2 linked regions of the Arabidopsis thaliana genome follow. The protein of the gene in region 1 interacts with the protein of each later gene in a pairwise test. Each region holds a gene or a part of one and is shown in the gene's direction. Other genes may lie near its edges. The genes, in order: PTR1 and AT2G22180.

The links.
Region 2: the proteins of PTR1 (region 1) and AT2G22180 interact in a protein complementation assay, tested with the Arabidopsis thaliana proteins (one large-scale study listed by BioGRID).

The regions. Positions count from the first base shown.
Region 1 is NC_003074.8:20,038,115-20,055,990, reverse strand, and holds PTR1 (peptide transporter 1), read left to right. Parts: upstream 1-7,245; 5' UTR 7,246-7,543; intron 7,544-7,800; exon of another isoform or gene 7,801-7,832; 5' UTR 7,833-7,836; coding exon 7,837-7,942; intron 7,943-8,335; coding exon 8,336-8,553; intron 8,554-8,637; coding exon 8,638-9,191; intron 9,192-9,271; coding exon 9,272-10,106; 3' UTR 10,107-10,388; downstream 10,389-17,876. Other genes in the region: AT3G54160 (RNI-like superfamily protein), read right to left, coding at 964-1,275, 1,357-1,497, 1,672-2,523; AT3G54150 (S-adenosyl-L-methionine-dependent methyltransferases superfamily protein), read left to right, coding at 3,249-3,398, 4,223-4,849, 4,995-5,189; AT3G54130 (Josephin family protein), read left to right, coding at 11,562-11,816, 12,509-13,096; AT3G54120 (Reticulon family protein), read left to right, coding at 13,858-13,927, 14,030-14,210, 14,275-14,486, 14,574-14,722; PUMP1 (plant uncoupling mitochondrial protein 1), read right to left, coding at 14,995-15,039, 15,144-15,230, 15,314-15,391, 15,475-15,579, 15,671-15,769, 15,852-15,985, 16,079-16,157, 16,258-16,473 and 1 more. UniProt on the Arabidopsis thaliana protein: Peptide transporter. Mediates the transport of di- and tripeptides. High affinity transporter with low selectivity. No transport of amino acids.
Region 2 is NC_003071.7:9,415,936-9,432,087, forward strand, and holds AT2G22180 (hydroxyproline-rich glycoprotein family protein), read left to right. Parts: upstream 1-12,807; 5' UTR 12,808-13,033; coding exon 13,034-13,909; 3' UTR 13,910-14,206; downstream 14,207-16,152. Other genes in the region: EME1B (essential meiotic endonuclease 1B), read right to left, coding at 1-88, 194-248, 321-496, 1,003-1,112, 1,256-1,406, 1,479-1,643, 1,870-1,934, 2,041-2,208 and 1 more; AT2G22145 (ECA1 gametogenesis related family protein), read left to right, coding at 4,385-4,654; AT2G22155 (ECA1 gametogenesis family protein), read left to right, coding at 7,934-8,239; AT2G22160 (Cysteine proteinases superfamily protein), read right to left, coding at 9,208-9,525; PLAT2 (Lipase/lipooxygenase, PLAT/LH2 family protein), read right to left, coding at 11,075-11,551, 11,733-11,807.

The DNA.
Region 1 (17,876 bases):
AGATGAAAGAAGATTTATAGTTTTAAATGTTAACCAAATCTTCTAATTATTAATATTGTTTAATCTGGAAATATCCGTTGTAAAAGTTTTTAAAACAGGTCTAGAATCGAGTTTTATTTGAACCGACCCAACTAAGACTCAATGAACAAAATTATTAAAATGGGCGGATACCAAATTGATCTAAATGCATCCCGACAAAAAATTTTGCAAAAATACTATGTAGATTACTTATTTGACTAAAATACAAATAAAATCCCTTTTTTGTTAGCAATTTCATTATTTACTAGGTGAAAAAAAAGAGATTCAACTATATTTCTCTGCTCATTATCTGTCTATGGCTACGTATTTGTGTTTCTCTTCTCATTATCTGACTATGGCTACGTTTATGTGTGATGGTTTCGGGTTTTGTAACAATTGAGTGTCAATGCTTAATGACTTCGTGTGTATTGTATTTGTATCTCTGGACACAATCTATATAACAACTTTAGTCTCTTGTAGCCATAATCATCTAGTTCTTGTGTATGTTGGTTTATGATGTGTTTCTTTTTTAAATCAAGCTTTGTTCTAGTTCTCTGCGCATTGCATATACTGAGATATTTTTAGCTCGTTGATAAAACATATAAACTACAATGTTACTAGAGCCGAAACAAACAACATCAGTCAAATCATATCCCATTTACCAAATTGTCAAATAGACTGTGTAAACTGTAAAGTAACAATAACATACAGCACAAATGAGTCATAGTAGACCTAACGTAGCTGATAGCTAATAGCTATAGCATCTCTCTTACAAACTCAAGTGAATTAGGCACGAAGAAACGACACAACAAGGAGCCAAAGATGACAAAAATGTCAAGCTGTTATATACAGAAATTGCATGGATAAGAAAGACACTAAACAAACCAGCTCTCATGTCAACAACAAACCGGAAGCTCATTTGTTTCTCTTATCAGATATGGAAGTTCATGCTGAGGCAAAACAAACTGGAAACTTGACCTCGACTTTGCATTCAGACGAAGCTCTTTCGAACATTAGGAGATCCAACATGATCTGCAGCTTTTTGTCATCTCCTTTTACCTGACCATGAATTTCCAACAGCTCAAGACTCGGCAATTTCTCCAAGATATGCTTTATTTGCACCATCTCTCCGATATCTCCCTTGAACTGGGTTATCTTTAGAACCTCAATATGGCAGGACGATAAGAAAGAATACACCTCCAAACAATCGCAAACAGTGTTCTCATCCCCATAGTGATTAGTAGTATAATGCAAAGCCTAGAAAAGACAGGAATTTTGAGATTGAAGATTTTGACTCTTTAGTTTGTCCAATATACTTTTGGGGGTCTTAGGTCATACCTGAATGGTGAGAGTCTTTAGATTTGGAGATTTCTCAAGCAGAATTGGTAGAACATTCCAACAGAAATCTACTTCAGTGCTAAGTGATAAATGAAACAGGTTTTCAAACACTGGTACTGCTTCTTCGAAGAAACAAAACACCTGAAACAGAATTAAAAACAACTAAGTCAGTCATTACTTGAGCAAACATTCTAATCACTAGCAAGATTGATATGATCTTAGTATCTCAATGGTTCCTAGATTTAAATTTCCTCATGCTCTACTAGTTGTTAAGCTACAGTAACATATTAAAGAGAAACAATAGCGATCACTTACCTGCATCGTGTCAACAACGCCTAAGCTCAGAATCTGAACATTTTCTAAGCCCTTAATCAGATTCTTAACATCGTAGGTATCGCCAACCATAAAAAGAGGAAGTTCTAGCTTAGCTTCAACAAGGGACTTGAGATCAACAACTGGATACCCATCTCGGAGAACATCAAAGTATTCGAAGTATTCAAGACTCGGAGTATCAAAACTAATTGACTCATAACTAGAGCCATCAAGATCTTCCCAGTCTTCACGCCGAATAGTAAGTTTCTTAAGGATCTTACTAGACACAATGCGAGACCATTCCCAATCTTCACGGTTGTTCCTATATATCACTAAATCCTCTAGCACAGGGCAAGCAGAAACAAGCCTTGTAAACGCACAACCACCACTTTTATCAATGAACCGAACTTTATCAAGAAAGAGAGTCTTAAGAGCTGGAAGCAAAGCGTTCTTAGGGATATTGTCAATAACAAAATCAGAACCTAGTTTCAATTTCACAACTTTCTTGCAAGTGAAGACCTCAAATGGCAATTTGTAAACTTCATTGACATTGATGTCCAATTCAAGATCCAAAACACCTCGATTCAACACATTGCGTAGACATTCGTTGACAAGATGGTACTTAGCTGAATCAAATTCCAAAGAACGTAGTTTCAAAGAGAATCTCCTTATACGGTAACTGTCACGTCGAGCTAGTAATCGAGAAACGAAATCTTTGAAGCTTCCATTAGTTTCAAACGAAGGATTATAACCAACATTCGATATGATCGTAACCAGATTCGGGGATTTTTTGGAGGCTATGTTTAGGTTCCAGAGTTTAGAAACGATCTCTTGAACTCTCACGATCTCACTCATGGTTTCATGAATTGTAGTCGAAACTCAAAAGCGATAAAGAAACGCAATTGACGAAATTTGATGTACGAGTTTCACGGTGAACAGTGATTTTAGCGTCTATATCGGAGGAATCACATACTACACCGGAAAAATCCAGTATAAACGGCAAAATCCGCCGGAGTTACAGTTACAAGATCAGAGCAACGACACTGCTCTCGTGAAGAAGAAAGAGTAAAAAGCGCTCGAGACCCTCTCTTTTCCTCATTTTAGTCTTCACTTTATCAACTTTATCTTGTAAAAACTAAACCCAAGAGATAAGCCCAAAATTGAGCCCATTATGACTTGAAACTTCAGCTAATGAACTTGGGCCTAACACTAATACAGATAAAACACAGATTATATGTACAATTTTCCTTTTTCGAGATTGAAAGAAAATTGATTATAACTAAATCATTTTTTTCTCTACCATTTCGTGGAAACTTGCATTGCCTGCATATTGGTTTACAACTATATACTGACTATTTTGTCTTCGACAAAAAATATATTAAAACAAAAAAGTCTTAAACGACGTCTTAGGAAGGACTTGCAGTGAAACTTTACCTCACGCCAAGTTGGACTTGGTTAAACTTTTTCATAATATATTAATAGAAACAAGACTATTCAAGACTCGAGAGAGTTTAAATAGAAAACGAATTAGTTGTGTATTCAAACCAAGGAAAGAAAACGAGAGAGGTACGTAGAAGAAAATGGCTGCCTTATCAGAGAAAGAGGCTGAAGCTTATCTCGACGCAAGGCCTAGATATCCGATCGATTGGTTTAAGAAAATTGCCGCACGGACACAGGACCACAAATTTGCTTGGGATGTTGGAACTGGTAATGGTCAGGCTGCTATTGGGGTAAGCTTTATAATACTATATATCTTCTAATTTAGATTTGGGAAAATCTGAAAACCTTCATTTAGTATGAAGTTCTTTTTTATTTTTTTTTCTTTTTTTTTTTTTCCTTTAGTATGAAGTTCTAGTTAGTATGATTTGTGATACTGAGATTTGCTGATAAATATCTAGCAACAAGGTAGCTAATTTACTTAGGAGGGCCTCTTTCAGTGAATCATCATGTGATCATGTCTATCATTCTAAAGATTAGTCAAACTTGGTTGCGGCAAATTTGATTGTTGTTATTCAGCCTCTTGATCTTGTTATTTTTATCTTTTTAGTCAACGATCTTTGCTGTTTTATTACGTATTTAATATATGCATAATTTTTTATAGATATTTTTAACCTAAAATAATGTTTAAAAAAATATTTACATCAAAAAGAGGTAGGAAAAATGAAGTTACGTAACTTATATAGTCTTTAGCAAATGAGCTTAGACTGATTTGGAAGAAAATGTAAATTAAAGACAAAACTGAGCTTAGATGTTGTTTTGTTTTACTAGATTCACAAAACATTAATATTTCATCAACGGTAAATGAGACCATGCATGTGGAATTGTGGGTATATCATACATATATAATGTATAGTAAGTGAATTTGTTCAAGACTTGCAACCTAGTGATAAGTATTACTGTCGTCACCACTCAAGTTATAAACTGAAATATATGTTGTCAAAATAAGTTAAGTGAACTCGCCTCTTGCAGATTGCCTATTGATGTTTATGCATGCACATATAGAATATAGTAGGTGAACTAAGCTTGACAATACCATGAAATCTATAATTTACAGCTTGTGGAGCATTACGAGAATGTAGTGGCTACCGATATAAACGAAGCACAACTTCAACGAGCAATCAAACACTCAAGAATCAGTTACCATCACACTCCAACAACGATATCAGAAGATGAGATGGTGGATCTACTCGGGGGAGAAAACTCCGTGGATCTCATAGTTGCTGCTCAAGCTGTCCATTTCTTCGACCTCAACGTATTTTACAATGTTGCAAAACGTGTTCTTCGTAAAGAAGGAGGCCTAATCGCCGTTTGGGTATACAACGATATCATTATCTCGCATGAGATCGATCCCATAATGAAGCGCCTTGTCGACTCTACTCTACCTTTTAGAACTCCTATTATGAATTTAGCATTTGACGGTTACAAGACATTGACATTTCCTTTTGAGACCATAGGGATGGGTTCCGAAGGAAAGCCTATTACTCTAGACATTCCGCATAAACTTTCGCTTAAAGGGTTTATAGGGTTCTTGAGATCGTGGCAGCCCGCGATGAAGGCTAAGGAAAAAGGAGTAGAGCTTATAAATGAAGATCTAATAACCAAATTTGAGGAGGCTTGGGGTGATGAAACCCAAGTGAAAGATGTTTTCTACAAGGCTCACATGATTGTTGGAAAAATTCCGGTATGACTACAACATCTTAGGCAATCATTCAATACGTTAAAATATACTTAATTTTTTACACTAAAATAACAACTAGTGTTTTTTTTTGGTTAAGGAAATATCAACTATTATTACTTAGGTTTTGGTACAATTTGTCTTTGAACAGGAAGAAAAATTCGAATCTGATCAAGTACTGTCTAACAAAGGTCGTCTCTTGCTTGAAACGGAGGTTGGGAGAAACCAGAAAAGACCACAACCATCCGATGAAGGAGACAGACAAAGTAAGAAACAAAATACAAGTGAAGATGACGCATGCAAAGATAAACCATCGTCAGTTTTTAGTACTCATTACAGGTTTTAACCAAAAATAGATATTAAACCATTTGAGAAAGCAATAACTCTTATTTGGATATCAGTTCATTATTCCGTATTAAAGCCGTTGGTTTTTGTACAACTGAGTAATAAAGTTCATGTTGAGTATGTCAATTATTGGATTTGGGAGTTCCAAAGAAAATTTTGAAGACTTTATGTAAAATGGAAACATCTGGTGGCGAAAAGAAATGAAAATTGGAGTTTCCATTCACCATACACAAAACAAAAAAAAAAAAAAAAAAAAAAAAAGCCTAGATGTAACCTTTCTTTAGCGGTCATAATATAATGTTTTCGTGGATGTGAATTCTTGACGCCCAAAAATAAGGAATTTTTAATTCATTTATCTAACCTTTTGATAAAATAAAATAAAACTACACGCTTATTTCAGGTTTGATCTGTTGTGAGATTAGTTACAACTTTTTAAAAAGTTAATGGCAAACAAAGTTGTCGTCGATAGTGATGATACCTAGATTACCTTTTAGCTTTTCTTTCTAGAGAGTTATCTTCCCAAACAGCTCTCAAGTATACGTTTTAGCTAGCTTAGAGAATTGATCTTAATTTCAGAAAGAAAAAAAAAAAAGAATGCTTTGAATTGAAGCACAAATTGGTTTTTCTTAATTGGATTTGAAGAATCAATGGATTAGACTAGAATCAAAAGGTCAACTACTATGATTCCCGTGAAATAATAATCAAATATGAGTGATCCAAATTTCTATATAATTGCACATCATTGATTTGTGGATCTATCAAGTGTTATCTTTTACTTATATTTTCAGTTAGATCTGACAACAATTTTCGTACTTATTCTATTAAAGTTGGACCTCGCAACAACCTTTCATATCAACGTTGAAGTTTTATAGTTAATTATTAGTTCTTGATTTTAAAATGTGTCAAATGATATAATGATTAGTTCAAAGTTCAAACCACTGATCAAAGATTACTTACTCACGTTGCACAAAATCCACCTTGAAACATCATAGTCTCGATGTCACATCCCAACAACTAGTTAATGTTTTAACAAAAAAAACAAAAACTAGTTAGTGTACTTCAAAAGTATATATTGGTATAACTGATTAGACGAATATGTAAGAAAAGTTGACTACAAGAGTATGGAAGCCGTGGTAAGACTTCCAATGAAATAAAAGCAATCAAAGCACACTGTTTTTTACCTATTTTATTTATTTATTTATTTTGTTTGCAACTAAACGTCATCAATTTAAAAATTGTTAAATACATCAAATATGTTTTCTTTATAAATATCAAATTTGGTCAGATATATTTTCTTTTTCAAATTTAGCTTCATAAACATCAAATTTTACTTTTGGTTTTGTCTCTTTAGTTTGTTGGGCTTTTGGAGTAAAGAGTTCAAGTCCAACAACTAAGTCGATAAACAGCCAAATCCTCGTAGATAAACAGGATCCAGCTACATATGTCGATTCACATGCATCTTTTAATATTCGTCCTCGGTGAATCTTTAGATCAACGGTTACTTTATTACTAATTGTCATTAGCACCTCTTATTTTAGCATAACCAAATCAAACACCTTTAATTATCTTTCTAATATCACTACCCTAGTTTATATTTTAAGATCCACTGAGACCTTAAAGCTGAAACAATGTTTTTAATCGAGGGAGTGATTAGAGATTTAATCAAATGGATTTAGACTGAACCACCAAATTGAATATTGAATCTAGTGATGTTTTTGGCTTTATTTTCACATATCCAAAATCAAACATCAACCAAAACCAAATTTAATAAACCTAACTATTTTTTTTTTTCAAAATCGACAATCTGATATTTAGAGTATGAACACAAGTTTCAAATAAAAAAAGAAAGAGTATGAACTCAATTTTATAAGAAAACTCCAAATCATCTTATTGACCAAAGTGTTTGTATTCACACTTGTATCTTTCTTGTTTTGAGTAGGAGTTCTTTCTTGTTATCTTTCTGGTAATGTCAATTCCGTAATATCGGATAAAAAACAAAAAGAGTCCACTAAAGTTTTGGTGGATGATTAACACGTCCTTCGATATTGATCTATTTACACTTTGGAGTCAAAACAAGATAATATCAAAATCTGATAGCACAATAGGCCTTGCGGCTCTAACTGAAATATACAAAAACTCAAAGGGTTAAACTGCAAACATGAGAAGAAAAGTGAGCAACGCTCCTTTCTATTTCCTTGGATATAAAAGCTGTACGGGACCAGAGCTCTGCAAGTCTTTTTTATAAGCTCATGCTCATTATTACTCCGACAAGTGCCGTGTAATTCCTCGCCCTCGGCTACTCTTTTCTCTTCTTGCCTCTCGTCTCCGCCGCTGATTCAGCTGCCGCCGACAAAGGTTTCTCCCTTTTTTCTAAGTCTTTTATGAGTTTTCCTTTCGTTACAAGTTACAACCATAACCTCATCTGGTCACACATAAACTATAATTTCAGAGCATGAAAATTTCGTACTTGCTTGCTTCATCTGCATATTTCGATCTAAGCATCTACTAGTCAATTTCTTTCACGTATATTTTTAAGGGTTTTCTCATAACCTTATACCTGAAGTATGGATCTCTAAATTGGGGATCTTTAGGTATGTGTTTGGTACATCTTTCTTGAAAAAGCTAAACTATTTTTCTTTATTAGGAATATGGAAGAAAAAGATGTGTATACGCAAGATGGAACTGTTGATATTCACAAAAATCCTGCAAACAAGGAGAAAACCGGAAATTGGAAAGCTTGCCGCTTCATTCTCGGTAACGTTCTAATCGTTTCACCAATCTTTTTCTTCATTATTGCCGTATAGGACCTGGACCAGCTTAAGTAATGGCCTCTCGTGTCCCCTGTTTTTTAAGGTCCACTAAAAACATTTACATGTAAATAATAAATGTAATGATTAAAAAGAGATTATATACGATTAAAAGCAAATTGAATGATAGAGAACAAATAAAATTTAAAATATTATTGGAAATGTTTAGTTTTGTAGGGTGATCACTATGAAAAAAGAGTTATAAACCTAAAATCTGCTCTGTTTTCTTCAAAAAAATTGTCTAAATAAAGAAAGGGCCATTATATTTTTTTATTATATAGCTTGGGCCCTGATTGGATCTATCCATATAAGATTAACCAGTTTTATGTGTTTTGTGTAGGAAATGAGTGCTGTGAAAGATTGGCCTACTATGGCATGGGCACTAACCTTGTGAATTATCTTGAGAGCCGTCTGAATCAAGGCAATGCTACGGCTGCAAATAACGTCACGAATTGGTCTGGAACATGTTATATAACTCCTTTGATTGGAGCCTTTATAGCTGATGCTTACCTTGGACGATATTGGACTATTGCAACTTTTGTTTTCATCTATGTCTCCGTGAGTTTTACTTGTTTCTTATCTTTTGGTTAAAAATGTGAATCTTTTGGTTAAAACTAATTAAGTTTGTTTTTTCTCTTGAAGGGTATGACTCTTTTGACATTATCAGCTTCAGTTCCTGGACTTAAACCAGGTAACTGCAATGCTGATACTTGTCATCCAAATTCTAGTCAGACTGCTGTTTTCTTTGTCGCGCTTTATATGATTGCTCTTGGAACTGGCGGTATAAAGCCGTGTGTTTCGTCCTTTGGAGCTGATCAGTTTGATGAGAATGATGAGAATGAGAAGATCAAGAAAAGTTCTTTCTTCAACTGGTTTTACTTCTCCATTAATGTTGGAGCTCTCATTGCTGCAACTGTTCTCGTCTGGATACAAATGAATGTTGGTTGGGGATGGGGTTTCGGTGTTCCAACAGTCGCGATGGTTATCGCGGTTTGCTTTTTCTTCTTCGGAAGCCGTTTTTACAGACTTCAGAGACCTGGAGGGAGTCCACTTACTAGGATCTTTCAGGTTATAGTAGCGGCTTTTCGGAAGATAAGTGTTAAGGTTCCAGAGGACAAGTCTCTGCTCTTTGAAACTGCAGATGATGAGAGTAACATCAAAGGTAGCCGGAAACTTGTGCACACAGATAACTTAAAGTAAGAAACTAAAGTTTGAATCTTTATCCTAACTTCAAAAATACTCTGTTTTCAAATCTAAAGTTTTGAAAACATCTCAGGTTTTTTGACAAGGCAGCGGTTGAGAGTCAATCTGATAGCATCAAAGACGGGGAAGTCAATCCATGGAGACTATGTTCTGTTACTCAAGTTGAAGAACTTAAGTCAATAATCACACTTCTTCCAGTTTGGGCCACAGGAATAGTCTTCGCCACAGTGTACAGCCAAATGAGCACAATGTTTGTGTTACAAGGAAACACAATGGACCAACACATGGGAAAAAACTTTGAAATCCCATCAGCTTCACTCTCACTTTTCGACACTGTCAGTGTACTCTTCTGGACTCCTGTCTATGACCAGTTCATTATCCCGCTGGCAAGAAAGTTCACACGCAATGAACGAGGCTTCACTCAGCTTCAACGTATGGGTATAGGTCTTGTGGTCTCCATCTTTGCCATGATCACTGCAGGAGTCTTGGAGGTTGTCAGGCTTGATTATGTCAAAACTCACAATGCATATGACCAAAAACAGATCCATATGTCGATATTCTGGCAGATACCGCAGTATTTACTTATCGGTTGTGCAGAAGTTTTCACCTTTATAGGTCAGCTTGAGTTTTTCTATGATCAGGCTCCTGATGCCATGAGAAGTCTCTGCTCTGCTTTGTCGTTGACCACGGTTGCGTTGGGGAACTATTTGAGCACAGTTCTTGTGACGGTTGTGATGAAGATAACGAAGAAGAACGGTAAACCGGGTTGGATACCGGATAACTTGAACCGAGGCCATCTTGATTACTTTTTCTACTTGTTGGCAACTCTCAGTTTCCTCAACTTCTTAGTGTACCTCTGGATTTCAAAACGCTACAAATACAAGAAAGCTGTTGGTCGAGCACATTGATCAAGAAACTGGTGTGGAAGATATTTGGAGTTAACAGTATTTGTTTGAAAAGTGTTTTGCTTGTAAATGTTTTTTGTATGTGGTCTAGTTGTTGTTGGTGTGTTAGGTTTGTTTTGGTTTTGCTTATGTATTTCTGAATACTTCCAGTCTTCCACTTATATGTAAAAGGCTATTGGTAACTATTTTATGAGCTTTTTGCTTAAAGCTTTTTGACCGTCTGATAATATGTCCTCCTATATTTTGCCATTGCTCTTAAGAAACTTATTATATACATTGGAAGTTATAAGCAATAAGCTGGGAAATAAAATCAAAAACTAAACAACAGCATGGGAAATCTTAACAAAAAGCAAAGCACATAGGATCCTATTGTCAATACATATGTAAACTTACTACTAGACATTAAACAAAGAGATCAAGTATTTTCTTCTGTTTCTTTGAAGATGTCTTTACTTTTGACTATATATCTGAACTGTTTGGAAAATGCTCAAGATCAGGATGCATAAGGAAGCCCCCTTGGCTTCTTGGAGGTTGTCTAACAAGATTGAGACAAGCAAGCGTCAAAAACAGATTTTGATTCTGGGGTTTATTTGTTCAGTAAAACCCATGGTTTATATATATATAGTCAGAAACAAGCTTTTTATTGAGCTCAACTATATGCACATAGAAAAAGAGAAAGTTTTTTTGTCATTTTACGAATGTGGTGGTGCGATGAAGCCAGGTTTGGTCACTAAATGAGCGGAAGCGGAAATAGCCAGCAGGACTATCTGGAAATGAAACCAAACCTAATCATTTAACAAAGTATAATCAACTCTAGCCTTGCAATTATATGGCTAAGAAGGAAAAATTTAGACCATAATAAGAGTTTAGAACAAACAGGTAGAAGTAGTAGATGTATTACCTTGATGAAAGAATCAGAGGGCGTAAAAGCTTATACAGAATCTCATTCTTTAAATCTGTCACTAACTTATCTAAATTCTTAAACTGTTCACGGACATTGCTGCTAGTGCTCTCAGTAGTATAATTCCTAACTCTGTATTAGTGCTCTCAGACGTGGTTATTACGAAATGCAGGCATAAACCAACCCGATCATACCCATCACATTATCAGAAGTCGCCATCAAAGAGATCACCAGAAATCTTGGGAAGCAAGGAACCTAAGTTGGTCTGTCAATTTTGAGATAATGGGCCTATCTCAAAACAGTATCGGGCTCGTCTGCAAAATAAGAAAAAGGCCTAGAAAGTCGGTTATTACACGTGGCATCCTTTTATTGTATATTTACTTTTCCGTCCCTTACATTTTCTTATTTAAATAATCTGTTAACTTGCTTCTTCTTCTTCTTTCTTCATCTTCATCTTCATCTTCGCTTCACAATCTCTTTGAGACTTTTGCATCGGAGCAATAATAATATATTCATCGCAAAATCAGTGAATTTTGATATTCAAATCTTAATCGGCGATGGAACGAACAAGCAACGGAGGAATGTTGTATCACGAGGTTCAAGAGTCAAATCTGTGCGCCGTACACTGCGTCAACACGGTGTTGCAAGGGCCTTTCTTCTCTGAATTCGATTTGGCTGCCGTCGCCGCCGATCTAGACGGGAAGGAGCGTCAGGTTATGCTTGAAGGTGCTGCCGTTGGAGGTTTTGCTCCCGGCGATTTCTTAGCTGAAGAGTCGCACAATGTTTCCCTCGGCGGCGATTTTAGTATCCAGGTACGAATTCGCGATGAAATTGATAAATCTTGAGTTGCATTCAACATTTATATATTGTAAAGCCTTTTTGTTATTGTGTTGTTGGAAGTTTAGGCAAAATTAGGGTTTCGATTTTATGGTGCTTTTGATTGCTGTGTTTATGCTGAAGTGATAAACTTTTGAATGGTTGGATTCGTTTTTAGATAGATTCAAGAAGAATTGAGATCAGTAATGGTGTGAATTTGCGATCTTTACTTTGGGTTAAAACTCATTTGTTGAAGGCTAGTTTCATTGTGCGAACATTGCTATGCTGATAAATGGAGGAACTTGAGATGATTTTTTTTATCTTGGGACTCAATTGTTTTGGATATGTTAGTTATTAGTGAGGTTCTGTATATTCAATTATCATCTTTTGTTTCTTGGATAGCTTTAAACCGAGTTGGTTGATAACTTGATATTTGATTAGGTTGCTACAAAAGTCAGGTTTGATTGCAAGATTTATGTATTGAGATTCAAGGGTATAGTATGGTGTTTTACATCACATTTTTAGATATCTAAAATTAAAGCTATTTTAACGGATTACGTTGAAGTTGGATGCGGATAAAACACTGCAAACAGAGGGTTTATGCGATTGGTGTAGCATTTTAATCTTGCAAAGTTGATCTAGTCTTTGCTTATTCGTTTAACTGAGAATGCTTCTGTTTGATTGACAGGTCTTGCAAAAAGCTTTGGAAGTGTGGGATCTACAAGTAATTCCACTCAATTGTCCAGATGCAGAGCCTGCGCAGATAGACCCTGAGCTTGAAAGCGCCTTTATCTGCCACTTGCATGACCATTGGTTTTGTATAAGGAAAGTGAATGGCGAATGGTATAACTTTGATAGTCTCCTTGCTGCCCCGCAACATTTATCGAAGTTCTACCTTTCTGCGTTCTTAGACTCTCTCAAAGGCGCAGGATGGAGTATCTTCATAGTGAAAGGAAACTTCCCTCAGGAATGTCCCATGTCGTCTTCTTCTGAAGCTTCCAATAGTTTCGGGCAGTGGCTTTCTCCTGAAGACGCAGAGAGAATAAGAAAGAACACGAGCTCAGGTTCTTCTGCCAGAAACAAGAGAAGTAATGACAATGTTAATCAACAAAGACGGAATCAGGCATTGTCACGTGAGGAAGTGCAGGCTTTTTCAGAGATGGAAGATGATGACTTGAAGGCAGCAATTGCAGCAAGTTTGCTTGATGCTTCTGCTGCTGAGGCCAATCTCGGAGCTGTGGGCACTTCTGAAAAGGAAACTGAGAAACAAAAGTAGCAGAGAAAATAGAGAACAAGTGTTATTGATGGAGGTGGTGGGATATTCACTTTTGTTTCTTTGTTTTGGTTTGTTATCAAGAGTTATCAACAATTTTACATACAGAACAGAGAAAGAAAAAAGCTTACATCGAAAGATAGAAAACAGAGGATAATAAATGGTTTGTGGAATTGTTTTTGTTTGATTTTTTTACCATATTAAATTCTTCTGACAATCTTAAATTGAGGATAAAGATTCGACCTTTTCGAATTCATAGGAAACTACATCTGAAAAGGGTACATAAATTACTTCAGTTGACTAAAAGTAGATGAATGACCAATTTAAATGTGTTCTATGGAAAATATAAAAGGATGGTGTAAAATTTGATTCATCTCTAAGTACAATCTGGCGAACTTTTACAGTTTGAAAAAAACAAGAAGGATAACACTTTTAGGCTGGAAATAAAAACATCGAGAGGACAACAAACACCTTCTTTTTCCCTAAACAGAGCATAGCCTTTGAATTATTAATTAATTATTTGTATATTCAAAGTTGATGGCTTTGATGATGATGGTGATGACCCAACTTTAGTCTCTTCTTCACTTTTTATTTTTACTTTCTTTGTGATACATCAGGTTCCTTCGATTCGAGCCTTTAGGATTTCCTTTCACATAATGATCTGTTTCTGACATTCAGAGAAAGATATACATATCTGGGTTACTTTTGGGATCTGATCATCTGAGGAAATCTGAATCCAAGTTTGCTCTGATCTTTCTTCTCAAATGAGTTCTTCTTCGGACAAGTTGTTCAACAGAGACAGGACAATACATGAGATTCTGGGAGGAGGCATTGGTTAGTGAATACATTTCTTTACCAAATCCAAAACTTATAAAAGCTAGGTGATCTCTCACCTCTATAGCCTTTTTTTTTTCTTGTTATGAAATGAATCTGCAGTTGCAGATGTGATGCTGTGGAGGAAGAAGAATGTGAGTGTTGGTATAGTTACAGTGACAATAGCTTCATGGATGGTGTTTGAGGCATTTGCTTACACTATCTTTACTCTTATTTCAAGTGTTCTTCTTCTCTTGCTCTCTATTCTCTTCCTCTGGTCCAAATCTGCTTCCATTCTCAACAGGTATATTAATATTCACTTGTAACTAATATTACTTCATTTCTGATTCAATTTCTTGGCTCTTCAGGCCATCACCGCCGTTACCGGAGTTTCAAATAAGTGAAGCGATGGCGGAAGAAGCTTCGATATGGTTACGTATTCATGTGAACAAGCTACTCCAAGTTTCGCATGACATTGCAATGGCAAGAGACTCAGAGTTGTATACCAAAGTAGCAGTGTCACTGTTTCTTCTCTCATTGATCGGAAGTCTCATGGATTTTCAGACACTTTGCCACACCAGTAAGTAGATATTCTAAAACTCCTATAGACTTGGAATGCTTTTGAGCTGGATATTCATTTTGTGGTTGTTCTTGGTTAATTTGGCAGGCGTTTTGGTGGTTATGACGGTTCCAGCTTTCTATGAGAGATATGAGGATTACATTGTTGGCTCTATTGAGTTTATCTGCAACAAAACTAGAGAGCTTTACCTTAGACTCGAGATATGGGCTAATCCGGAAAATAAGAAACTGAGCTGAGATGCTGTCACCTCTTTCTTCTTCAGGAGTTTCTTTTTCTGATTTTTCTCGGTTTTGTGGAAAGAAAGGAGAAAAATGTATGATTTTTGATAAATGTTGGATGGTACAGCCAATATATGAGCAATCCACAGAAATTTTATTTCACAGTTTTACTCGAAAACTGAATCTCTATTCCGAAAACAATATTCGACCAAGTTCTGGCCTCTCTCAATCACCGAAAATGAAGAAGAAAACAATGTTGCTCTTATTCCCTCTGCTTAAAACTATGTGTCTCAGTTTCTTTTGGACGCATCGAGTTCCCGGACATACTTCTTTGCCTGGATTAGAGTATTAAGAACCCGGATTAGAAAATGAGAAAGAAGACTTTGCGTGACCGATTCGAATGCGATTGCGATAAAATAAAAATTCTATCAGTTGTTACCTGTTCGAGGGTCAAAAACATGATTACGTTCCATGAGCCAAGGCGTCCAAAGTTGGGGATGAAACCCTTGTAAAATGCCATAGGACCCTGTAGAGGAAACCGTAAAGAGTTTGTAACATTTTCTGGGTTATATCTAGAACAATGGAGGTATCAGAAGCAGAGTTGCTTACGTCGCTCTTCAGAGTTTTGACGAAGCAGTCAATGGTGCCCTTGTAAGCACCAGAATCTCCCATCATTCTTGACTTAACCTGCCACACAACAAGATTTAAGTAGACAATCAGGAAACGTGGTGAATAAACTCAAGGTTCAATGTCATGAGTAAATACTTTACCACGTCGACAGGAGAGCCGATGCAGACAGCAAAGAATCCTGCTCCCAGTCCAGATAGAATATGTGTGACAACGTTGTCAGTGAAACCCGGAATCTTCAAGATCGTCTGAACACAAAAAAAAAAAGGAATGTTGGTTGCTTCAAATATCAGGATCTCTTATTTAGAAAGAGAGACAGAGAACATATTAGTTTCATACCTCTTTCACTTGATCGTAACTCGCTAATTCAGCAGCATTGATAATAGCGTTTCTTGCTACGTTAGGTCCAAGACCAGTCCAAAGAGCTCGGACTCCTTCCTGTCAGAGCCACATTAATAAGATATGAAGTAGAGTTGAAGCAACTTATGCACAATCTCAACTTCCAAGTCGGGATAACTACCTGTCTCACAATTGTTGAATAAGCATTCAGCGCTCCAGAATACCGTCTTGGCGCACCTGCAGCTAGTTTTCCTTCGGCCTGAAGCCTAACTTTCACAAGATCAGTGGGATTTGCTACCATGATACCCAGTGCACCTGAGAGTTAGACAACAAAAACAGCCCAACTAAGTGATAAAGAGGAAATATATATTACGTGTTTTTTCTAAGCTGGTCTATCGTTATGCTCACCTGTTGTCAAACCAGCAAGAATTTTCTTGCTCAATGGAACATCACCTACAAAGTCTTTTCCAACATACAAGTTTTTCACCTGAGTAGAATAAATTGGTTAAGGCTTTAAGTAGTAACTAGGAAAACACTGAGTTTAAGCACTTTTCTGGAGCATGAAAGAAGAAGAATTTGTAACCCACCGGCTCATACATTCCAATCCTAAGACCTCCAAATAGGCATTGACGATGCAATCCAGGTACAACACCTTTCCATAGTGAACGTAACCCTTCTTCCCTTGCTATGGTACCAACAGTTCCCAACAATCCTCGATATTTAGGCAGAGTAACATCACCAGCAAGAGCAGACTTTTGGAGCTGAAGCCTAACTTTAGCAGTGTCCAATGGAATTGTGCATACCTGGTCCAGAGAGTTTAATTGCATAAGAACAGAATTATCTGACGAAACAACACAGCCAAAGAGAAGATACATGTTGTTCTGAGGATAATTAAACATTATACAGTTGCGTTGCATAGCAATCACAATGATCAAATAGATTCCATTTTCAAGTCTCATAATCATTTCAATGTTTCGCAAAATCATATCTAAAGCATAAATCAACAACACTACACATGCCAAAATTCAATTTCTAGCCACAGATCTGACCGATTATTCCGAGATCAAATCATTTCTATCGGAATTACGTAATCTGGAGAAACACTATAGAAGCTAAAATCAAAATTCTCCAGCTATACGATGATAAAGACAAAAAAGACAAAGATCAACCTGATCAGAACTTCACAAATACCAACGAAATTCGAAAATACATTTCCGCGTATAGCCAACAAAGTCTAGATCGCGACACACATTTCTCGAACGAACAAATAGTTTTCCGGTACAATCGAAGCATACTCAGCGATAAGAAAAATGGAGTTAAAAGAGATGAAAAATTGAGGAATCCGGCGATTACCTCGCCGACGCAAGCAGCGAAGGCACTGCAGGCGAAAGTTTTGGGCAAGGAAAGGTCGGATTTACCAGCCGCCACCATCTTCGATCCAGAAAACGCGAATTAAAGAGAGGAGGTTAGGGTTTCGAAATCGAAGAACAGAGAAGAGATAATATCGGGAAGAGGGACGACGACGATTACGGCTAAAGCAACTTGGCCTCGAGTAGTGTTTCAGTTATAGAAAAGATCGTCCCTCTCTCTCTCTCTCTGCGCGCTACGAAATGAGAAAGGAGTGGGCGCTTTACTTATTTATACACACGTGTGTGACGACCTGTTTTGTTAAATAGTATCATCCATCGATTATGTTGCTTTCACTGTCTGAAGAAAATTCCCAGTCAAATAAATGACACAGCACCACGCTGGATCGAATTTACTTTTACTAACTACCTCTCTAAATAATTTCATTTCTTTTTAATCTCTAATCCGATTTTTTTAAGTTCTAATAATTCCATTAGTTTAACATCGTGAGAGGTCGAAGTTTTGTATATTTGGTACAAAGTTGATTAGCTTTGTAGCAGTGGCAATAAAGTCAGTGCGTCATCTTCTAGGTCTACTTCACATCTTCGTCACAATGCAGAGTGCCCTCGATGATAAAAAGTTTAAGTATCATAAACTTAATCATCATAGGTTAGTATCTCTTAGCTATTTCAAAAGAACACGTTAATCACTCTTTTGCCTATATTTGTTTAATCTAAACGATATGACAAATTATATTTATACACTAACATCCAAAAAACTATTCATATAAAAAGATGTGCTACAAACGTGACAAACTCTTGAAAATTATCCATTCACATCATACATAAAAAATGTAAAA
Region 2 (16,152 bases), on another chromosome or scaffold:
GGCCAACAATATGTTCAGCCACCTCAGCCTCGTCTACACAGTGTCTGGAATGTACTTTAACATAGTGAGTAGTTAATTTTGCAAGTACCTGTGTAATACATATCAAATGCCCCAAAAGTATGTTTAAAAACACAAACATAGGAGCAACAAATAGGCTTTCCTCTACATACATTATCACTAGGTAATGTATTACCTCATCGATAGGAGGCCGTCTCCAATTTCCCGGATTTTTGTACTCTTCCTTTTCCCTAGAAGATTGGTTTTATTCAGCTTGATGACGGAAACATTAATATAACACCAAATCACTTTATCAAACACACCTTTTCTTTACGTAGGACATTAACTTATTCGTGAGGCAGCACACCGTATAAGATGGGTATCTGTCCTGAACTCTTGAGATGATTTCTAGAAATTTTCCATTAGCAACAAGATTACAAAATTCTTCAGCGTCATACACAAGTAGCAAATAAGGAATCTTGGGCCCTTGGGGGAAAAGCTGCACCAGAGAAAAGAGGATGTTAATAAAGAGTAAAATAAGATACTGGATACAGATGTTTCATATAGTTTTAGTCAAGTACTGACTTCAAAGACCCTTTAACCCATAGCAAAAGGGTTTCATTTCCTTTGTTATATTTCATAACATGTAACGCAATTCAATGTCAGGTGTAATGAAGTAATCTTCGATCGATTTCTTTCTAAGAAATATTGAAGACTTTCAAAATAGTTTTTCAAAACTCCTGCCATTCAAAGACTATCCAAAGATGAAATAATAGCTTTGACTACCTCCACTAAAATTACGAAGATATGAAACTTGCAACACAGAAGAGTATGATCCAAACGTCAAAGAAATTTTGAAACACATATTGAAGTAACATGCTTATCCTGAGATTAAACAAGAATACGGACCAGATTAGGGAGCTAGTTCTTGTTGCAAGTTCTGGATTCTAAGAACTAATTTTCATACATGACAAAAAAACAAAAGTGATTGAGAATTAATTGTACCGGAGCAATATCCTCTGGAATTGTCATCGTCCACACAATGGATCTCTCAATTGGATTAGGGCCTACGTGGATTGTAATGCCTTTCTCAGAGAACCTTGAAAGCAGAAGTCCTATGTTCACATTATACCAGAGGCACTCAGTGTCTATACTTAAAGTGACAAACCATTCATATGAAACAAAAAAAAGAGAGTCAAAGAAAAAACATCTATAGGATCTATTGAAAAGTAATACAAAGAATAGAGAAATTCCTCACCTCCAATGGATCCTTCAAGCACTTTAGTATCAATCTCGGCAACAATAGATTTAAGGGCTAACTTTCCCTTTTCCCATTTTTTCTTCTCCTTCTCTAATCTTTTACGCTCAGCCTCTTCTGCTTTTGAGGCTGCTTTCTCTAATCTCTCTTGCTGGATTATGGAAGCCAGTCAACAATTGATAAAGAAACAAAAAAATAGAAAAGTCATGTAAAGAACACTTACCTCTTTTCTTAACTTCTTTTCCTCCATTGCACTTGTTTTGTCTTCCTTCGACTGCCGCTTTTTTGGCAATGCCTCACCTGGAACTGGAAGAGTTGTAGTTCTGATCTTCTTTTTTCGACCAATTTTCTCAACGCTTATATCCTCTTTTTCTTGGTCAGAAACAACCTGATACCATTTAGAAATAAGAGTAAGAGAGAAACAAAATAAAAGAAAAAAACATCAGCACAACGTGAACTCTTAAAATACAAACAAATGAGACGTTATGGGAATCCAGAATTGTCACATTCTCAAAAAGACAGCTTTGCAAAATCATACAACGAATAAAGTCAACAATCCCTTAATCCTGTACCAATGATGAACAATATGGTACTAGTTCCTTGCAGATAAGTACCTCAATAGTATCATTAGTTGGCGAAGAGCGAAAACTGACTTCATGCATCCAACTAGTATCATCGTCTGAAAAAATACAGCAATCAGCATTTGTATGTGGACCCTACAAATGAAGTTCATCATGTATACTCTGATATATATGCACAATAATTTGGTTTTGGGGTAAGCATACCTAAATTTGTCTCAGGTATTCTAGTATTCTTATAGTATGCCTCACTGGTTTCGGCTTCCAATCCAAACCGAGGCTCCCTTAAACCAGCAAGCACGGATTCATTCTTCTTCGAAGTTTCAGGTCGAGGACTATCTTCAAACTCCGAATCCAGAGATATTATCCGTTTGCCTAGTGAGATTCCAAAAGAAACATAGAGATATTGTTTAGCCTGATGATTCTGCCTAAGATCCCCAGAAATCACAAAATTTTCGCTAGTAGAACAAGCTTTCCGGTATCAATTTCCTGTAGAAAATGCTAAAGCTAAACCTAAACACTGAGAATCGAGAAAATTCCGAGGACGAACATTAACTAACCGGAGAATTTGTCTTCGCGGTTAGAAGCTAAAGCTCTAGAACCAAAGGAACACTTGACGACAGAGAAATCATCGGAAAGAGGTGTCTCAGGGACGAAAATAGGAGTAAAAGAAGATTCCGGCGGTTGCTTCTGCGGTGTCGGATCTGAATCCGATATCAGTATCGCAGAGATTGGATATTTTCGAGCCCGTTTCGACAGTGATGGAAGTGGAGTAGTCTGATCCTCACCGTCAGAGATGAGAATGTGATCGTTCATGGAAGAGAGAGTTTTGAATTTCGACTGAGCGCGGGACTATCGAGGAAGATGATGATGATTCGAATTTCGAAATCGCCGATAACGAACGCAGAGGTTAAGCAACGTTTGGCTGCATGGTTATCTGTATTCAAAAAATATGGAGTGTTTGGATACAGGTTCATCTTCATTCTTCATCATATATCGAGTTTAGTAAATACGGCTACTGGATTTTGCTGACTATTATCGCTTTTATGGCCCAATAAGCGGCCTACAATGGACGACTTAACAAAAGTCACTGAAATTTTAATTGGTAACCGTTTTGGAGAATTGTGTCACTATTCTTCTTCATTTTTTCATTGAAAAAACAAGTATAGAACTTTCCAAAATATATGCTATATATCTAATAATATTTGTTCAAATTTTTGGTTTCTTTTTTTTTTCTGGTAGGCCCAAATTTTTGGTTTCTATTATTAGATAGTTAACCCGCATTATATGTGAAATAAATTATTAAATAAATATATTGTAGTAAATTACAAAAGTTACTATGTTATTATTTGAAATTTGAAATTTGTTTGTTTATTATGTAATGTAAATTTTATTTAAAATAATTTGAACCAGCAATTTTTTGTATTAAAATTATTATTATTCATACATTGATTGATTTAAACATGTATATAAGTTCTATAAATAAATTAGTTCTTATGTTCATAATTTTAACGGAAAATTTTGGAATCTTCTGATTAAATTTAATTAATATTATATTTTTAGAATCTTCTGAATATTTATAATTTAATTAATTTTAATTGTTTTATATATTTTGAAATATTTTTATTTACAAAAGTATTGGTAATATCTGATTAGAAAAAATAAAGGTAGTTTATATATTAATATCTTTGTTAACATATAATTTTCATGTCTATATATTAAAAACAAAGATATTTGTATATAATACTAATAGTTAATTTTGTGAATAATCTAATAAAGGATGGACAATGATTTAAGTTGGTTGAGAATTTGTCTGGTTGTAACACGTCAGCATGACATCTCTGTAAATACCACGGTAGCTAAAAGTTATTCTTTAAGTGTGTTTTTCTATTAATATAATTCATTTTTACCCATTCCTCAGTTCGGACATTGTAATGTCCTCTTTACGTGAAATGTTTATTCATCAGAAGTTCAACATAAAATATCTTGCAAAATTATTTGATTGAAGATGATTTTCCATGAAGAAATGATGTCGTGCATGTTGATTGAAGAAATATATAAGGAAATGTATACACAAAGAGTTATACTTTGAAAAGAAGAGTAAAATATGAATATATCATAGCAAAAAAAAAAATCTACAACAATTAAATTAAAAGATATGTTATCCTAGATATAGGATCATATCTATATCTAATTAAAAACATGCATGCCTTAATACACATAATCACTTATATAGTTATATTCTATATGATCTTCAAATTGGGTAGCAATTAATATGTTACTGAATTATGCTTATTTTTCTGACTAGGTGAAATGCAGAAGAAGAAGAACTACTAATTTACGTAAATCAAAATCCAAAAATTCTATTTAACAAAATAAAATAAAAATCTAACCATTCTATTCAAAACATATGGTAATGAACAACCATAAAAAGCTGACATAATTAGCATCATCATCAACAACATAAGTGTCACAAACTAAATTCATTTAATTGGTTTATAATTTGATAAAGCAAATCGCATCTAAGACAGTGAAGACAACTTTTCTGCTCATGGTTCTTGCTTTTTTGATAACTTGGTCATGTTCTAGTGCTCAACCGATAGATCCTAACGCATGTTGGCAGACGATTAAACACCCACCACATGAATGTCTCGAGAGCATAAAGAGGATTTTCCACGGACATGTCCATGGGATCAAGAAAGAATGTTGCGAAACCGTAAGTACAATTTCTGATTTATGTTGGCCAATCATCTTCCCGAGCATGCCTTACATTCGCTTTCTATTGAAGGGTATTTGCACTGTCAAATACTCATTGCATTGAAGTGCCAATTTGAAGAGTATTTGCTTCATTTTTATATTATTAAGAATGACAATATTTATCTATTTTAATACTTGTCAAATGTATTCTACATATAATTATCTTACATATTTTTGTTGAATGAATTTAAAATCTGTGTTTTTTTTTTCATATAATAAAAGTACAACGAATGAAGGCGGTTAAAGATTGTTTGGCTCTAGTGAAAATTTCATCAACTAATGTCATCACATCAATTTGTTTTCGGAATGCCCCTTTCAATTAAACTCATTTCTACAATAAAGCTATCTCAAGATCAACATTACATACACAAAGAGAAACGAAATCACCATTACAAACACACTGATAAAATCAAACACAATTAATAAGGTATGAATGAAATACATGAAACCCTATGGACGGAAGTCGATTTCTTTGACAAAGAGGAGATATACACATGCGACGAAAGCATTGATGTTTGGGAATGATATGGCGGATAAATCGCAAACTCTAAAGCCCCAAATTCATGAAACGAGGTTGTTTGGTCTAGTTACTATGTTTCCTTTCTCGAGAAATTTAAATGGACATGCCATTGTTTTAAAATGATTTAATTATGTCATTGCGTTAATTTTGATTATATATATTACGTGTCATTTGATTAAGCATGTTTACATGGTAACGTAAGGTTCAGTGTACACTTGATTTCGAATCAAATCCCTCTTTTTCATTATACATATTTGGGGTTACTATTGATACCAAATGAGAAACTATAGATTTTCAACTCAAAATCTATCAGCAATGAGTTTATTGTTATATGCATGTCTCTTATATATCACTGAAAATGCAAGAGTACTTTGGTTTTGGGATATTATCCCTAACATGCCTCTTCAAAATGATGATAATTCTACCCATTTATTTCGATAGAACCTTATTATAGAGGATCATTCCCGGTAGGACAAAACTCTTTATTAAAACTCCAAAGCTCTTACAGAAACAAATGTGGTCACATTATGAATGGAACTAGCAAAATGAAACCCAAAGCTGAAAACAGGAAAGAGCTAGAAACTCCTCAATTATTATTTAGGACATTATATTGAACCATATCCTAATAAAAAACATCTAAGGTGGAGTCTGTGTTTTAGAGAAGCCAATGAACTCGACTTCAACCTTGAGCGCATCTTCCACCACTAAACCTTTAGATGCATTTTTAAGATCTGCAAATGGTACAAACTTCTCGAAACCCCATCCATTATTATTAGCTGTTGCATTAGGCCATCCATCCACTGTCCATCAAAAAAATATATGAATCAATCAAAAGTTTTAGTTGTTAACAAAATTAAAGGAAATATAAATAGGGAGAGCACACTGACCTAGCTTCTCCACGTGGTTGGATCGGATTTGGTCAAGAACTCTTAGCTTGGCTCGAACATAAGCCTTTTCATTAGACTCGCTCAACAAATAGACTGACGATGAATTGCCCTTTACAAAACCATCTCCATTTGGATATACCTTCAATACCCTATATCATTAACATTACTTATTAACACATTGACGTAAAGATACCGTAGTGTTTGTGTATATATCTATATGTTATGGAGAGAAGAGAGAGATTCACCAGCTACTTCCTCCAGAAGAAAAAAGGGCGGATGTGTAAGAGTCACTATAGAGAGTTGAAAATCTGTTGAGTTTCCATGTGTAAATGGGATCTTTGATGTTTTCTTCAAAGGAGAAAACTTCCCATTCATTCAAGGTTTGAGCAACGAAGATGTCAATTCCAAACACACACTGTTCTCCATCGAAAATGTATCCGGTTGTCAGCGTTGAGAACACCGATGTGGGTTGAAATTACGGCACTCCGTATTCAGGTTTGAATAAATGAAACCTCCTTGCCTCAGTTTGTACAACAACATTCATTTATAATAGATGTTCAGTTAAGTACTGGACCCAAAAGATAGTTACCATGCATGATACTTTATTTTTTCTGATTGATCAGAACGTTTGGTTAATAGTAAATGTGACATAGCATATCATTATTGTCCAAACATAGCAATAAACTGGAAATGAAGATCTTTTTTTTTTTGACAGCCTCGAAATGAAAATCTGCTAGCACTGAAACAACACTTTTCTAACCGGGTGGGGGGCAATAGGTTACATTACATACCTTGGTAGGTATAGTATTTGTCGTAGATTCTGTTGTAGACGAAGAACTTGACCTCTGCGTACACATCCTTTGGATTGGAGATGAGAGTTGAGTTATCGATTCTTGCGTAAAGCGAAACGTATCCAGTAGCGCCATCTTGTTTGTTTGCCTGGCTGCTCTATTCCGACCATTTATATGTGAATTTTTGTTATTTTTTGCCTAAGTGATTGAATAAAGCAACAATTATATATATATATATATATATATAAAAGATTTTCTTTGATGAAGATCATGGTTTGCTTTCCTTAATTAGCCAGCAGGTTTGATCCACGTTTGCCGACTAATTTTCTTCTTCCGTGACTGACATCTAACATCTATGGTGGATCCTCCTTGTTTAGTTGTAATTCGAGATGGGTTTTGTTTGTATAGATCCAACACGTCGTCAATATAGAAAATTACACCTGAAGAAACATTAAACTTAAATATCAAAGAGTATTTTTTTGTAACATAACAACTAGTTTTAAGTTCTCATTACGTATATAACTAAAAGATGTGCATGGAACAAATAAGATTTAAATGTAAATTTTTTTGCAGTCTAAACTTAAATTTAACAATTCTTATGTTGATCATCTTCAAATTAAAATGTTTTTCTTGTTTTGAAGTTCTGAAAAATTGATTAATTATTAACATTTTATGAAAAATAGTTGATGAGGTGATATTGTATATCTAGGATTATATATAAATAAATCTAGTCATCATTAGTAATTCTCTAATTTATTTGGCACAAAATTTACAAAAACGTTCAGGTGGCACTCTCTAGTTGGCGAAATGCTTAATTACTTTGGTAATATATATATGATACGTAAATGTATTTTGTAGTGAGTGTATTATATGTCCACGTACACAAAATTAAGTGACATTGTTGAAAAGGCTATCTTTTATAAAGGAAATGATCATGAATTTGAATGGCATATATACCAAGATATATGGAACTCTATTATCATATCTGCTAGGTGAAATGAGCAAACGAAAATCTACCAATTTGAATAAACTCATATCTCTAGTCATTCTACCAAAACAAAGTATAAAAAGCTCCACCATCATTAACATATTACAAAAAAAAAACTAAACAATTTTTTGGGTTTTTTAATTTAATTATAGAAAAAATGGAATCTAAGACGATGAAGATTATAATTTTTCTTATGGTTTTTGTTTTTGCAATGACTTGGTCTCCTTCGAGTGCTCAACCAACGGATCCGGAGGGGTGTTTTAAGGCGTTTAAAAGCACATCAAGAGGATGTCTCGAAAGCATAAAAGGAATTTTACATGGACATGTCCATGGGATCAAGAAAGAATGTTGTGAAACCGTTAGTATAGTTTCTGATATGTGTTGGCCAATAATTTTCCCAAGCATGCCTTACATTCGTTTTGTATTAAAGGGTATTTGTACTATTAAATACTCTTTGCATTGAGGCATTTGAGGATTCGTTATGTTTAATAAGTGAGAATAAAAGACCATCTATGATAATAAAATATGAACAATTCTTACATTCACCTCTTCTCTAATAACCAATTAAAAGTTGACATGTCATCTATTTAAAATAACAAATAAAATAAATCATTAATAATTCAAAACTGAATTAATTGTAAAGCCCACTAAGTCTCTTCCTAAATCCAAACTAACGAAAATAAAACTAAACCCTAATTCTCACTTTATAAGGCATTAACTCTAACCTTATTTATAGTTTTTCTCTATTCTTCTTCCCACACATACAAAAAAGATTAGTTTTATCGGAGGAAGGATATCATTATCATTGTTTCCACACAATTTGAATATAAGTCAAAATACTTATTTATATGTGCATCAAAATTTCTTAGTTTTTTTTTTTATTTTGGTGATTTTGTTGTACTAAAGTTCAAATAATGGCATCTGTGGAAAGAAAATACTAAGGATAAATAAGGTAAATATTAATTTAATTAATTTATTTAAATTCTAAAAAGGAAAATACATTATTAATTAAGAAAATGACCAATCAAAATAAACATATAAGATTTTGATATCTAACTTAGCATATTAATTTATTATTAATCATATATTTTTCTTTTCATCTTTACATGATTCTATTTTTGTGAAACAAATAAATCTTCATATAAAGAAAAGCTAGATTTTTTTCTGCATATGTCATTATTTGAATTTTGAAAAACGAATCGAAATTGTTCAATCTATGATAGAAAACTTGTAATGGGTCAAAAATTCAGACTTGAGTAATATATTTGTTTTAAACAAAAATAAATTTAACAAAAACTCCGACTGAGTAACGAGTTATAATTTGAATATTTTATATACTGCAATAAACTTTTTAATAATTTACTTTAGAACATTTAAAGATAGTCTTACTTTACTTGATATTTTTAAATAATATCATTATTAAAACGTTTCTTAGGACTTCTTACTACACGTTGGTCCTTGATCTTTGACATTGGTGACGGCTCCTTTCTCTCTCCAATCCAAGGAATCTGGTGCTTGAGTCATATTCTCGTAGAAGAACGGTTTGGAGTCGAGTATTTTCTTGTGATCACTCATATCAAAACATGTGTGAGCGTTGACAAACTCGACGTCGGTCAAGTTTGCAAACTTGTTGAGCTTGAGCTTGTACGGTTTTCTCTCCTTGTTGGTTTTGACAATATATTCTGCATTTTTTTTAAATACATCGAAACTACTTTCTGTTTGGTGGATGGGCACAAGATAGTGGCCCATCCACCTCTTGTACAACTTTTCCAGACCCTCATCACTTTTTAGCTTTGTCTCATTGTATTTGTTCCATGAGCTTTTAGCTCTAGAATGAGAAGAGTAAACATAAGAATAATTAAGATATGCTTAGTCATTTTGTTTGATTTCTTCTTTTTGATTGTTTTTAGTGCGAGAGTTAAGTAGACAAACGAACACATTCATATATACTTGGTGGATCAAACTTTTTTCTTAATTGCACTGAATGTGTGCATGTGATCGTTAACACAAAAATAGACAATTATATAGTTAATGCTTTAACCTTAAATTAGTTTTTGTCTCAACGAAATTATTAGCCTATCATCTTTTTACGTACCAGTTAAGTCCAAAGAGGTATGAGAAATGAGATGAACATGCGATCATTAACTGTTTCGATGTATTTGAAGATTTTTATGATGAAACAATGTTTTCTCGTCTTTGAAAGCAATATCTTCAAAGTCTTACGCGGCAATTCAAATAAGTCTGTTATTACTTTGTTGCATCGAATCATGTGATCGTTAGTTTAAAGGATTATCACTAGGTTCACTACTTTATCATTTTCTTCATTGTAGTTTATATGACATTTAATTTTCTGTCAATTAATATGATTGAATAAAACCATTTTAATCTGTTTCTTCTAATTTTTATGAGAATCATAAATTCTTTCTTTTTAGACAGTTACTATTATTAAGAAAGAAAAAAACATGTTCTAGGGGGATGGAGATTAGACATAAATATTTTGACCTTAACGAAGTCTTTGTAAATAAATATTATACAATCAGTAATTATCTTTTAAAGGCATATTGTCTATTTATTTTATGTCTAGCTTGTATATTGCTTTGTGGTTCTATAGATTATGTGTGCAGGGATGATCTTTTTCAATTTTCATTGAGGAACTTATTGCTCACACCTTCTTTTATAGATTTAAAAGACGATTAGGAGCATAGTGAGATTTATATGGTGCCTTAGGAGGAATTTTAAAGTCATTCATTTGATAATGGTTTTCAGTTATTAGTATGACCCAAAGAAATGTTCCGTTTCAACCAAATGTCACTTAATTAGGAGGTTTAGGCCAATACCAATTAATGTCGTTGATGTTTCTTACAAAATTGTAAGTTTCTTGTTGACTTTTTGAACATGCACAAAAATGATTAAAATTGTGAAGATCCACTCTGTATTAAATGTTTAAAATTACATCGAAAAATGTGAAAAGGGCCCATCTTTTATACTATTTGGCAAAGTTTTGATTAATCATAAGGTTGTAGCTTTGAACGTTTATTTGTGAAAATAAAACGAAACAAAGAAACTATATCAACCAGTAATTATCTTTTTTTCTTTTTAATATGATCAGTAATTATCTTTTAATTTCATCACACGAAAAACTTAATAATGTTTGATAAAAATCTCACAAACAACAAAGAACGGAACTTTTATTCGATCGAATCATTTTCATTATTGCCATCACACGTTCACAAGACAACAAAGAACAACTCTCCAAGTTACACACACACATACACATTTGACATTTCATTCACTACTCTCACACGATCCAAGAGAGAGTCTTCCGGATCTCAGACCCGACCCGACCGACACTTTCCCTAAGCGAAACTGGACAGTTATTCCGAACAGCACTGAGCTCATACGGCGATGTATCGGACGCAAGCCATTGCTCAACATCAAAGCTTTGGTACGAGCACTTTGCATGAACTCCGGCTGTCGTGACTTCCACGTAGTTAACATACCAACCGTGGTGGTCACCGGAGCCGTCAGAGGTCAGATTTAATGAACAGACTGGGCTCGGAAGACATGGTGCTTTCCCACTGAAAATGTCGAGATTACCCCTCTCGTAGTAGTTGTAACCTGGTCCCATTAAACCACCCCATGCTTCTAGGTTTCGGATCCCGATGTAGTCTCCGTATTTGTCGTAGACTCTAGCGCTTATGATCGAATCTGTACCGGCTTTGAAGGTTGATCCGGTTCTAAGGAAGAATGTGTAGACACAATCTGCTTCATCGTCCTGTGAAATCAAGAAAGTCATTTTTTTAAATGGGAAGAAACAGAAGTTTGTAGTCTAATAGTTTAAACTAATGTCATTGATGTTGTGTCATTATATACATATTCAAATCTGGTTAATGTGTGTGTCTAGTTCTAGACAAAATCATATATGAGAGGAAGCAAGTCAGATTTGGAAAACTTACGGCTAATGCGACAGCGGAGACGGTGGCGATGACGAGGAGGAGTGAGAGGAAGAGGACGTCACGGCGAGGCATCATCGGTGATATGGATGTATAAGAAAGAGAGATCTAGTCTATGGAAATATTAATAGAAATGTTGAAAATGCTAAAGTATATGAGAGTTTAGATTTCAATGATTTAATTATCGTCTGTTTTGGGAGTTGCGTATGAAGATGACGTGGTCGTTTTTGGTCCGTTGGAATGAGTAAGAAATAAGAATAAAAATACTTAAGGATCCTATAAGCACGTCGTTAACTCGGCGGACAGGTCGGCATGGGTTGTCAGATTTCGAAAAAAATTGCATATTTTTTTTTGTCACAAACGCAAATCTTCGTGAGATACAATACAAATGCACTTCATTTTTCGCCAATTAGAATGTAATGTAACAGTTTCCAGTGTAATGCTCGCAACATAACATGTTTCACGTGGATTGGGGCCGGGGAAGAATTAGAGAAACATTAATTTTTGTTTTTGCTTTTTGAAAGAAAACTTTCGACCATATGAAGGTAAGATTTCCTTTAATTTCCTTGATATTTTCATGTACATATGTTTGATTTATAAATGAAAATTAAGTGATTGTGTGTTTTTCAAAGAAAGAAAAATGAAATAAATTTTGGATAGTATTGTCAGCGAAGCAGCAACAAGGCCCACAAACATAATTTTGAATGGCCGGTTGCTGCGGATTAATGTGTGTAAATACATACATTCCGTTCATGTCAATCCCAACGTATATTCGTATATATGCATTTTTCGCTTTCTAAAGAAACAGAAGTTGCAAGAGAATTGAAATAAAAAACACTTTAATGAAAATTTGGTCCAGAAATACCACCCAAAAATGGTTTTAGTTCGAAACGTACAAAATAAAATAAGACTCGTTCATGATAAACATTACCAATATGTGCTAACCTTTTTAAGATTTTACTCATGTATGTCTTATATGCATATATAATTTATGTTAGAAAATCGATATCTTGTAAACAAAAAGTAACAACTTCGTTGATCATCATCAAATGCCATAATACTATATTATATGAGTTCTGTAATATAGTTTTCTAAATAACAGAAAAAGGGAAATTTAAGGTGAGCTGGCTAACTCTAAATAGCAAAATCTTCTCAAAACCAACCAAAAGTTTGAGTCATGCAACAACAACCACTTACTTTTCCCATGCAAACCCTAATTTTCGCATCCTCTCTTAATTCTCTCTCTTTCGTCTTCTCTGTAGACCAATCTCCACCACACATCTCGTAACTCCCACCTTTCTCCGATGGAGGGGCCACGGCGTCCTCCTTCCGCCACCGCCCCTGACTCTGACGATGACAAACCCGATGATCCTCCGTCCGTTTGGCACCGTCCAACCTCTAGCCTCCCCGCATTGCCATCTTTAGATCCTCCATCGCACGGTTCACACCATTGGCGTAATCATTCTCTTAATCTGTCTCCACTCCCAACGACATCTTCTCCGCCTCTTCCTCCTCCGGATTCAATCCCTGAGTTAGAGACGTACGTTGTCCAAGTCCCGAGAGATCAAGTCTATTGGACCCCTCCTCCGGAACATGCAAAATACGTCGAGAAACGCAGCAAGAACCCGGAGAAAAACAAAAAGAAAGGGTGTTCTAAACGTCTTTTGTGGTTCTTCATTATCTTGGTCATTTTCGGATTCTTACTCGGTGCAATCATTCTCATCCTCCATTTCGCTTTCAACCCCACTCTTCCTGTTTTCGCGGTCGAGAGATTGACCGTAAATCCTAGTAATTTTGAGGTCACATTAAGAGCCGAGAATCCAACGTCTAACATGGGAGTACGCTACATGATGGAAAAGAACGGGGTCGTTTCCTTAACGTACAAGAATAAGAGCCTGGGGAGCGGGAAATTTCCGGGGTTGTCCCAGGCCGCATCTGGATCCGACAAGGTCAATGTGAAGCTTAATGGGTCGACCAAGAACGCAGTTGTACAACCTCGTGGATCGAAGCAACCGGTTGTTCTGATGCTGAATATGGAGCTGAAGGCTGAGTATGAAGCAGGGCCGGTCAAACGGAACAAGGAAGTGGTGGTGACTTGTGATGTTAAGGTTAAGGGACTATTAGATGCGAAGAAGGTTGAGATTGTGTCGGAGAATTGTGAGAGTGAGTTCAAGAACTGACACTCGCTCTATATATATTTTATATATAACATGATTGTGTCGTTAGAGTTAACAATGTGCTTAATTAATTCATACTTTCTATGTAATGTTCAATTGTTCATTTTTTTTCCCTAATGTCTTTGTTTTTACTCTATATTGTTGAGCGACAAAAGAAAACGTGAACAAGAAGAACACAATAGAGTGAGCGTCTTTTTTTTTTTTTAAATGTACCTTTGCTTTTACAAATAAATTTAGTTTAGCCCAGATTACAAATAAACAGACTAGTCAGAACTTCTTAAAAACAGAAGATATAATTGGGCCTAAATGCAAAAGTAACATTTCACCTCCTAAGATTTTTCCTAGACCAAGTGTGTACAAGCAATACTCCGAAAACTTGATGGGATCATTCCCTCTTTTTTTTTTCTTTTTTTTTTTATCATTCTCTTTTTGATAAGATCATTCTCATTTCTCAGTGTTGTTAGTTTTATTATAGAAATGTAACTTACATTTTGGGAATAAGTGCCGTCTGTACATTTCTATTAGTTTAACTTTCTCTTTTTCTGTTGGAATGTAAAATTTAGCTTCAACAAAGATATTTATATTTTAATTAATAGAGAATTTCAAAAGTTTGAAAGAAAAGATAGACTTTTAAAAGAATGAAGATTGAAAAGAAACAAATAGACTTTTAGAAGAATGGAAGTTGAAAAGAAACAATCTTGATCAGTACTTCTTCCTTCGAGCCAACATCTAATGAGGTCGTGAAGACAAGTCATATTAAAATATAGGTGCGAGGAGACCCGATCTGTTATTTTGTCGATCACTAGAGCTGACGGTTTACTGTTTCGTACGGTAAAAATTGAATATAGTCATTACACTATCGCTCACAACAAACATAAGAGATAGAAGCTGAGAATTTTGATAGTGCCATTGACGAGGTGGGGTTGCATATGCATCCAATCAGGAGTGAGATGCGAGCTTAGTAGAGGACCACCAACTTAAGGCCACGTTTTGAAGGAGAAAGGACTCATAAAAATATATGATCTTTGGCTTCGTCGAATTCGCCATAGTCCATAGAGGTACTTGTCTGCGAATGCAACTACCCGTTTAGAGGCGAATGTGTTAATAAACGGAAATGCTTTGCGAGAATCTGGCCTCACCATCTTATTGTTCAATAAGTGGAATGTATTAATAAGAAAATACAAATTATGAAAGTTTATACAAAAATATTTTTATATTTCACCGCAGATTTCAAAATGCAATGTTCTTTTTTTTTTGTGCGCTAGTTATTTTAAATATACTTGATTATTTTAAAAAATCGAATATACATAAAGAATCATTTATTCTATACCCCTACCATCTACCAAGAAAAGGTTGAGTGGTCATTTTCGCGAAACCACAGTGGAGAAACAATAATTGTGTATAAAGATATTCCACTAGAAAGTGAAACAAATAGGTCCAATTATTTATTAAGGGCACCTTTGGACCATTTTCACAGTCCTAATTATGACAACAATATTGTTATCTTCTAGCAAGAATATAAAAAGACAAATTTTATAGTTTATTATAAAATGAATTCTTCATTTCGGGTAAAGGTTGGATATATAAAATTGTATAGAAACCAGTAATAATAGTTAGGATATCAAAGAACTATTTGATGTATGATGTTTTGCAAGACACTATATTCATTTATTCTATTTTTTTTTGTGAGCGTACCAAACAAATCAAATTAAATACTATTTTATGTATGATGTTTTGCAAGAGACTATATCATTCTAAACTAACTAGCTAATATTGAATTTCACACATTTTGGGATGAGCGCAGTATCCAACTCTATTTAATGCTTTAAAATTTAAACATTTGCAATCTTGATGTAAAATACAAACATTCTTTTATCATATAATTCCACATGGTCGGTTGGTTGGAACGCACGCCTAGGCCTCACTCTTATTTGTGTTTCTCTCTTTTCCTTCACACCACTACATTCGAAAGTTCCGATACAAAAGAAAATTTCCTTTTTTGTTACTTTAAATTTTGGTGTCTAAAAAAGTTGACTATCCAATCAAAAGACATTTAGAGTTTGCCAAAAGATTTTTGTTTTTAGTCCACCTTTTAGACATGTCACAGAAAATTATTATTCAAGTGAAGGGATTGGTGATCAATGTTTTTGCTCCCTATAATTTGGGCATCTAAGTCACATGCATCCCCATGTTACCAAGTAGTTTGGAACATCTCACAGATCAACATATACATTCATTTACTGAGT